Saccharomyces cerevisiae S288C: one gene and its partner. The gene in region 2 interacts genetically with the main gene of each other region. Each region holds a gene or a part of one and is shown on either strand. Other genes may lie near its edges.

Region 1 (4,492 bases), on a different chromosome or scaffold from region 2:
GCACCTGAAGTTGAAGCTAGTCCAGTAGTCTCGAAGAAGCGAAAATTAAATAGACGTAGAGTACTACCACTCGATAGTCTTGATTTTTTTGCTGGAGGTTTGAGTACTAAGACTCTATCAGAAAATAGGTCTTTAACTGACGCTAAGAGACTTAATTGTGGCGCAGAATCAAAGACTGTCATTTCAAGTCCCAACATTGCAGAGGCAGATGAAAAGCACGCCCCATTTCTTCAAAACGCACTAAAGCCGACTGAAGATATTGGAAAGAAAAGTGGTCACAGTAGCCCTGGTGCTATAATTGTCAGTAGCCCCAACTTAGGTACTGTGAACACGAGTGAGGATTCGTTGGATAAGTCGCTACAGTCACATAAGTTACCACAGCCGTCATTGCCGGAGGTAGCAGGGATTGGCTCTCAAACCATATCTTCGAACTCCGCTGACTATGAAACAGCTGCTGTGAATTCGATGGATGATGCTGAAGTTACTAAGAATTTTAGGGTGAATCATCACCAGAATATAGAGCAACCCTCTAAAAACATCCGTAAACTTTCTAATTATTCACGAGAAATTTCATCTCCATTACAAGAAAATTGTAAGTCACCTGTAAAAGAGTTATCTATTAAAGAGAAATCTGGTACGCCGCACGCATTTGTTGAAGCTATTCAAGAAACTAAAAATAGAGAGGTCAAAAGAGTTAAGTCAACCATTGTTGAATTGAAGGATGAGGAGTTGAGCGAGGAAGCTATTAATCAGCTAAAAAATTTGGCTATTGTAGAACCTAGTAACAATTTACTGAGGAAATCATTTGATAGTGAGGGAAACAAAACAAGCAGAACAACTGAAAAATGGGAAAATAGCCTAATGGAGCCAGAATGGCATAAACGCAAGAATTTCAAGACTTTTGTCAAGGTACGTCCAAAATCAAAGGCGCACAAAGAAGAGGGTAAAAATAACACTCAAAGCTCAGATTTTATACGAAATGCAGCCTTTTTAATCACTAGAAATTATGTTCCGTTAAAAAAATACTCCAAAAAGGATACAACTACAAAATGGGGCACAGAAGAAAACGAAGATATGTTTGCTTTGACGGAGATGGAAAGATTTGGATCGAATACATTTATGTCCGATAATATAAACTCAAACACTATCCAGAAAAGATCTCAAGCTCTAAACAGATTCACGAATGAGGATAGTTCAAATGAAGGAGAAGAAGATTCGTTTTCTTTTTCTCGTTGTTCAGGTACTGCAGCCAGCGTTCAACCACTAAAAAACAAAATTTTTATTACTGATGAAGATGATCTGGGTGATATTGATGATAAAAGCGATAGACTAAATCACAGAGAAAATAATCGTAATCTTTTTGTGGTGAAGGAAATGAACTTACGGCCAAACTTGTCAGAAGAATGTTCCAAGCAAAGTAGACACAGTAGAAGCGCAACTAGTAGATCACGTGGCTCTTTTGGGGCTTCTAATAACGGTGATGGCGACGACGACGATGACGACGGTCCGAAGTTTACGTTCAAAAGAAGAAAAGGATAATGATAAATTTTCCGAGTATTTCCAATTTCATTAAATTATATTTTGCATTATCATTCGATATATGTGTATATATTATATGAAAATTAGTAAAATCAATGTTTGTTTCAGCTGTATCGGATCGGTTTAAAGAAGCACTACAGGTTGCTGGAGGCATTAACTGTAATGTAGCGCGCTCATTGGAAAATTGGGAAGGATCCCCACTTCATATCAACGACTCTCTTTGTACCATGCACTTTGGATAGGTTACTAATAGTCTTGAAATCATCCTCAGGCAGAGTGAAAATCTTAAAATTGGATACAATTCTTTCAGGATTAACCGATTTGGCCAGAACAACGTAGCCTCTTTGAATACTCCAACTGATAATAAGCTGTGCTGGCTCAACGCCGTGCTTTTTAGCCATATCAATAATTGCTTGCTCTTTTAGTAAAGGAGCATTAGCACTCCCAAATGGTGAGTAGGCTTCAACAACAATACCCTTTTCCTTACAAAAGGCAATCAATTCGTCTTGTGGTAGCAATGGATGAATTTCAATTTGATTAGTAGCTGGTACCACCTTGTTATTTGGAGATTCTAATAATTCTTTAATGTTGTTAATAGAAAAATTAGAGACACCAACGGCTTTAGTTTTGCCCGTCTTTGGCAACTCTTGCATCAACTCCCACGTCTTGATAAAATTCCATTCCTTAGTATCGATGTCAACAGTGCCATCTTCTAATGTTGGAATGCACAGAACGTTACCATCAGTAACTCTGTCGGTTTTCAAAGGCACTGGCCAATGCATCAGATATAGGTCAACATAATCCAAGCCTAGTCTTTTCAAAGACTTGTTTAGAGCAGCTTCCGGATCACGTTGTTCCGTACCCCAAAGCTTAGTAGTAATAAAAATTTCCTCACGAGGGACTCCGGAATCTTTAATAGCCCTGCCAACTTCTTCTTCATTCAAATAGATAGCCGCAGCATCAATGTGTCTGTATCCAGCTTTCAAAGCTGCAATTACAGAATGGTAACCGTTATTGTCAACGGAACGCCAAGTGCCGAAACCCAACACTGGAATGGAGGCACCAGTATTTAGTTTTAATGTAGCAGAAGAATTCTTTAACGTAGCAGGCATGGTAGATTATTATCTGTGGGTATATTTGCGACCTGATTATATTGCAAAGTTACTTTATTATCACTTTAGAAAAGAAAAGGGTTTCACGGAATTGAATTGCAACCAAATAGGGAATTGCGTGCTATATAGTTTCCTTTTTCCTTTTTTTTCAAAATTACGTAAGAGCTACTTAAATACACACGTGATGAAAAGTGACAATAGCATCAGTGAGAATGATTTTATGATGTCAGAATAGAAACATTTCTTCATCAGTGTAAAACGCTATAACGCTAGGGCTTTATTTTACTATTTACTCTAACAAATTCTTACATAGCTTATAACAACCTTTTTGGCTCTTAGCCCACAGTCTTTTCCAAATAGGCTTGTTTTTCAAGTTTTGTTCTACGTCATCCCTATCAACTAAATATTTGGGGTGGTGTAACAATTCTTGAACAAAAGATGCCAAAATGAAGTTAAAGTAGAACCTGAATATCAATGACACCAACGTAATTAAAATAGTCATGGTATATTCGTAGCTTTCAGTTGCACTTTGTTTACTTATATCAATACCACGTTCTGTCAGCTTACCTGTCGATATTGGGTTACTTTGTAGTGCATTATTTCCATCAATATTAGCAGTGTCTTCCAAGGTGAACCATTGCGTGGTAAACCATAGAGTAAAAAAACAAGTGGAAATGGTATCGATTGTATAAAGTACGCAGATTTGCGAAAATACCAGCAAGTTTGGCTTATGAATCAAATACAGCCCTTGTGAGAATACGATTAATGTAAATACCGACCAAAGATATGCTATCCATTGCATAAAATCCAACGGATGACCCGTGAACAATGCTAAAATACCATAAGCACCACTGCATTTGTTTAGAATGGAAATACCTAAGACAATCTCAACTGCAAGGTATAGCGGCATAAACCCCAAAAAAGACTATGAAAAAAAAATATGTTTGAGAACAGGTTAGTAAAATTGTGCTTTGCTTCGAATCCTTACAAGTTAACAAAAATTTATAGCGTTTGCCGGAAACATACTTTTGGAAGGGTTAGAAGAGATGATCTCATAACTAAGGTTAATGGTTACAATTGGTAGTTCCTCCCTGGTATTATTTCTTTTCTTCGTAGTTTTTGTACAGATCACTTATACAGCTTTACACAGATTTTCCCGCTTGTTGTGCACTTTTTTTTCGAAGATTATTGAAGAGGGATGCGTTTGGTACAATAAAAAACATAGGTTCCCAAACCTATATAAATATATATATGTATATGTATATATACTACATATATGCTTTGAGAAATATGTGAATGTTGAGATAATTGTTGGGATTCCATTGTTGATAAAGGCTATAATATTAGGTATACAGAATATACTAGAAGTTCTCCTCAAGGATTTAGGAATCCATAAAAGGGAATCTGCAATTCTACACAATTCTATAAATATTATTATCATCATTTTATATGTTTATATTCATTGATCCTATTACATTATCAATCCTTGCGTTTCAGCTTCCACTAATTTAGATGACTATTTCTCATCATTTGCGTCATCTTCTAACACCGTATATGATAATATACTAGTAATGTAAATACTAGTTAGTAGATGATAGTTGATTTCTATTCCAACATACCACCCATAATGTAATAGATCTAATGAATCCATTTGTTAGTTAATAGTTTAAATGTTTTTATCGGAAGAGGTTTTGTCATCACATCAGCAATGTTCTTCTTGGTCTCGATGTAGTATACGTATAAATTATTACCTGATACTTCATCTCTAAGTCTCATTGCCTTTGTGCCAAAAAATCTGTTTCTAAATTTCTCTTCATTTGTAGACTTAATTATACTGATCG
Region 2 (3,643 bases):
ATGGACATCCCAATCTTATGTCATGAACAACTATATAAGACAAAGGGAGAATAGTAACTTTTGTGATTCCAATTCTGATATCTCGCAAAGGTCCGTTAGCCAAAGTAAACTACATTTCCAGGAACTAATTAATCATTTTAAGGCCGTTTCAGAAGAAGATGAATATTCATCAGATATGATAAGGCTTGACCATGGTGCTAACAATAAATCACTTCTGCTTGGAAGTTTTTTGGACGGTATTGACGAAGATAAACAAGAAATTGTCACACCAATCTCGCCCATGAATGAAGCTATTAACGAGGAGATGGAATCTCCCAACGATAATAGTTCTGTCATATTAAAAGATAGTGGCAGTCTGCCATTCAACCGCAATGTATCCGATAAATTAAAAAAATAACTACCCATTACCTGATTGAAAGCATCTTTGGTTAAGAAATGGACCTGACATGCTACATAAATAGATACGTAAACAGATATTTAACCGAGACACATAAGATGACCTATTGCAACAACTCATCCCTGTAATGTGTTTGAAAGTTAACCCTTTTAATTTCGCGACGGATCTGCGTATTAATGGCATTTTTCTCCAATTGTTGCATTTTCTTCATACCCTTCTTATATTGCTTCTCGGTAACACCACTGACCATCCTTCTATCAGCAGCTGTAATCGTTCTTCTGCTTTCGTTAGGGTTTGGCTGCGAAGGTAAATTTTGTCTATAGTACCTCTGGCCCGCACGATGACCTAGCCTAGCGCCTGTTGGCAAGGTAAGTTCTAAACCAGATTCATCAATAGATACGGTGGTATAGTTTGCATTAATGTCATTTTCGGATGAGACCAACGTGATATCTACCTCCCCATCTTCTTCATCATTTTTGGCCCCATAGACAGATGAAAGCTTGGAAGTAATTGCTCTGTCATTCTGAAGATTTTTGCTAATAGAGTGATCATCGTAAGTAAAATCGTAAAATGGGGCGAAAAGCTGACGCTCCTCCTTTGTTTCATATGGCAGCCTGCAATGACGCTTAGAAGCCATATGCGCTCTTATACTTTCCAAACCGGAGCCATGAAAGTTACAACACAGACAGTTATGATCAATAACAATCATTTTTATTAAAAACTCTAGTAAACCGTTTAGATCAATCAAATATGACCTTTCAGGTATGAAAAGACCATGCTCGCTAAACATATGTTTGACATTTCTTTCCACTTCTTTATTGTCTTTCCCGCAATATATACATTCCGTGATGGTAATCTTTTCATTTTCTTTATCACTTGGCTTATCCGCTATATCTAGTTCCTCATCACTAGTAGCATACTCATAATTAGAGTCACTAGTGAAACCGTATTCAGAGACAGTATCTTCACCATAATCTGTATTCGTGTTTTCTGTTCCTACTGTCAAATTAGATAATTGTGAAGATATTGATCCAGAAGGGGACACCGATCTATTCTGTTTTTCTTTAGCAATATCCCTGTCTTTCCTCTTCAATAAGTTCGTACCAACTTTTCTTCCTCTCTTTGACTTGATCGGTTTCTTCTGTTTCTGAGGCAAAGCGTTACTTTGGTTCATAACAGGCTTTAGAACAGGGAAACCAAACTCATCAACCTGATTTTCAGCTTGTTCCTTTTCTGAAATTTGCAATTTCTCAGCAAACTGTTCCGCACCAATTGGCGGCAGGTTGGCAATTCTTCTCTTTAAGTTGTACCTGTGCCATTCGGTCTTCATGTGATATCTTTGCAAATCACTAGTCTTGAACTGAATAACACAACAGTTGCATGTAAAGAAAGTAGAGCTCATCTTTCAAAATGTAAATTCTGCTGTTTTTAAGCTGCTATAACCCAATAATGATAAGGTGATTGTAAGATGAATTGTACAACTGTGTTGCCACCGTCTTGTGACTATTGCATATGACTAAGTCGTTTTATTCTCTTTCGTGAGTGGCAATTTTGAAGAAACGACCCAAAAAAAAAGGACAGAATTCTACAACACCTGTACCTCCAAAAAACCCATTTCTTTTCTGTTTTTACTGAATTGTAATTCGCGCTTGTCTATTCGTCATTCTGAAAAATTTCACGCAAAACAACTGATGACAGATCTTGACCATAGCATAGCATGAAGGTGCAGGAACATGAGGCAGGAGCACCCTACGGGGCACCGCGAAAATAGCTGTGTGAAAGTGCTATGCGATACACATATAATTAATGGTTATTAGATGCGCGCATTTAACATTTTCCCTAACTCAAGTAATAGCTGAAATACCACGAACAAAAGTGTAAATTAGGGTATGTACCAAGTTCTATTCGAATTTAAAGGTTATGAGGTACAGGAAGGCTGAAAAATGAAAACTTCGAGATGAAATAATCCACGTCGAAAGTAATGCTGAAAACACAAGTAGCTCTGGATTCAAATCATAAGGACGTACAGAAGTGTTGCTGACAAATCGCTTCTTTTTGATATTAGAATTTCATTCAATGAACAACGGATTGAAGAATTGTCGTGTCGACAGGATTGTACATTTTACCAGGACTGAGGAATGAATTCAACGGCTTTGCCGAACAAATCACGGCATAACCTGCAGAATAACATAACAACATAGCGCTTATTATCATTGCGTATGCTGGCTGAAACGAACCTTTCACTGAATCAGCTCATATCGCATGGACGGAATAACAGGTATAAAAAATCCACGAGTTATCAACCTCATTCTCTTTAAAATTGGAATCCAATCAACCGAATTCATTTGTACTAACAACGTTTCCTATTATTGCAGATAAAATGGCTCACGAAAACGTCTGGTTCTCTCACCCAAGAAGATACGGTAAAGGCTCCCGTCAATGTCGTGTTTGTTCTTCCCACACCGGTTTGATCAGAAAGTACGGCTTAAACATCTGTCGTCAATGTTTCAGAGAAAAAGCTAACGACATTGGTTTCAACAAATTCAGATAAGCCATCATAAATAAACAATGACGAATATATAAATACTATATGTATACATATATCAAACTGCCTTTGTACTTTTTATGGTCCTATTGCTCCCCGAATCTTTAGATCCTATATGTGCTCTTGAGTATCGTTGGAGGATTCGTCAACTCGAGGTACGAGATATGCTTTGTCTCTTCCTTGTATTCGCTTGCTGATATTCCGTACCCTAGATTTCTTACTTTCGAAATACATTACCCGGATCAATTCCATTATTTTCGCCTTTCAAAAAATTTCCCGGTTGTATAAAAAGGCAGGACTTCGACAGTCAACAACAATTTTGAGTATATTTACCACATTTTTTCTGATTTTTTTTTAAGAGGGTGAATCAAAAATTTATTTTTTACACGGAAACGATGCCACAGTTGACTGAACCTGTCTTCTAACAGTAGTTAATTGCCAGTATTTCAAACAAGATTTGAAATACGAGTTTCCCAGAATAATTTATTTGGACAGGATAGGAAGTCCGATTTCTGTGTTGTCTCAAACGAGGCGATAGAATTGGGATGTCGAAGAAAGTCTACATTACTCATATATTTACGTACTGTCTCTTGCAGGTAAAAAGTCTTGAAGATCAGTTTCAATATTGAAACTAACAAATTTAGTTAGTTTCTGTACTTAGTCCGAGGTATGTATGCTAAGATTAGAGGATGGTAAAAAAA

The links. A genetic interaction does not mean that the proteins touch.
Region 1: mutations in REH1 (region 2) and YPR1 together harm fitness more than expected from each alone (negative genetic interaction), as found in Saccharomyces cerevisiae (2 studies listed by BioGRID).

What each region holds. Positions count from the first base shown.
Region 1 is NC_001136.10:1,212,063-1,216,554, reverse strand, and holds YPR1 (trifunctional aldehyde reductase/carbonyl reductase (NADPH)/glucose 1-dehydrogenase (NADP(+)) YPR1), read right to left. Parts: upstream 2,652-4,492; coding exon 1,713-2,651; downstream 1-1,712. Other genes in the region: XRS2 (Xrs2p), read left to right, coding at 1-1,539; KEI1 (Kei1p), read right to left, coding at 2,941-3,576, 3,678-3,707; MOR1 (Mor1p), read left to right, coding at 3,719-4,117. UniProt on the Saccharomyces cerevisiae protein: Aldehyde reductase with broad substrate specificity, catalyzing the NADPH-dependent reduction of aldehydes into the corresponding alcohols.
Region 2 is NC_001144.5:895,874-899,516, forward strand, and holds REH1 (Reh1p), read right to left. Parts: upstream 1,800-3,643; coding exon 501-1,799; downstream 1-500. Other genes in the region: VAC14 (Vac14p), read left to right, coding at 1-397; 40S ribosomal protein uS14 RPS29A, read left to right, coding at 2,778-2,948. UniProt on the Saccharomyces cerevisiae protein: Pre-60S-associated cytoplasmic factor involved in the cytoplasmic maturation of the 60S subunit.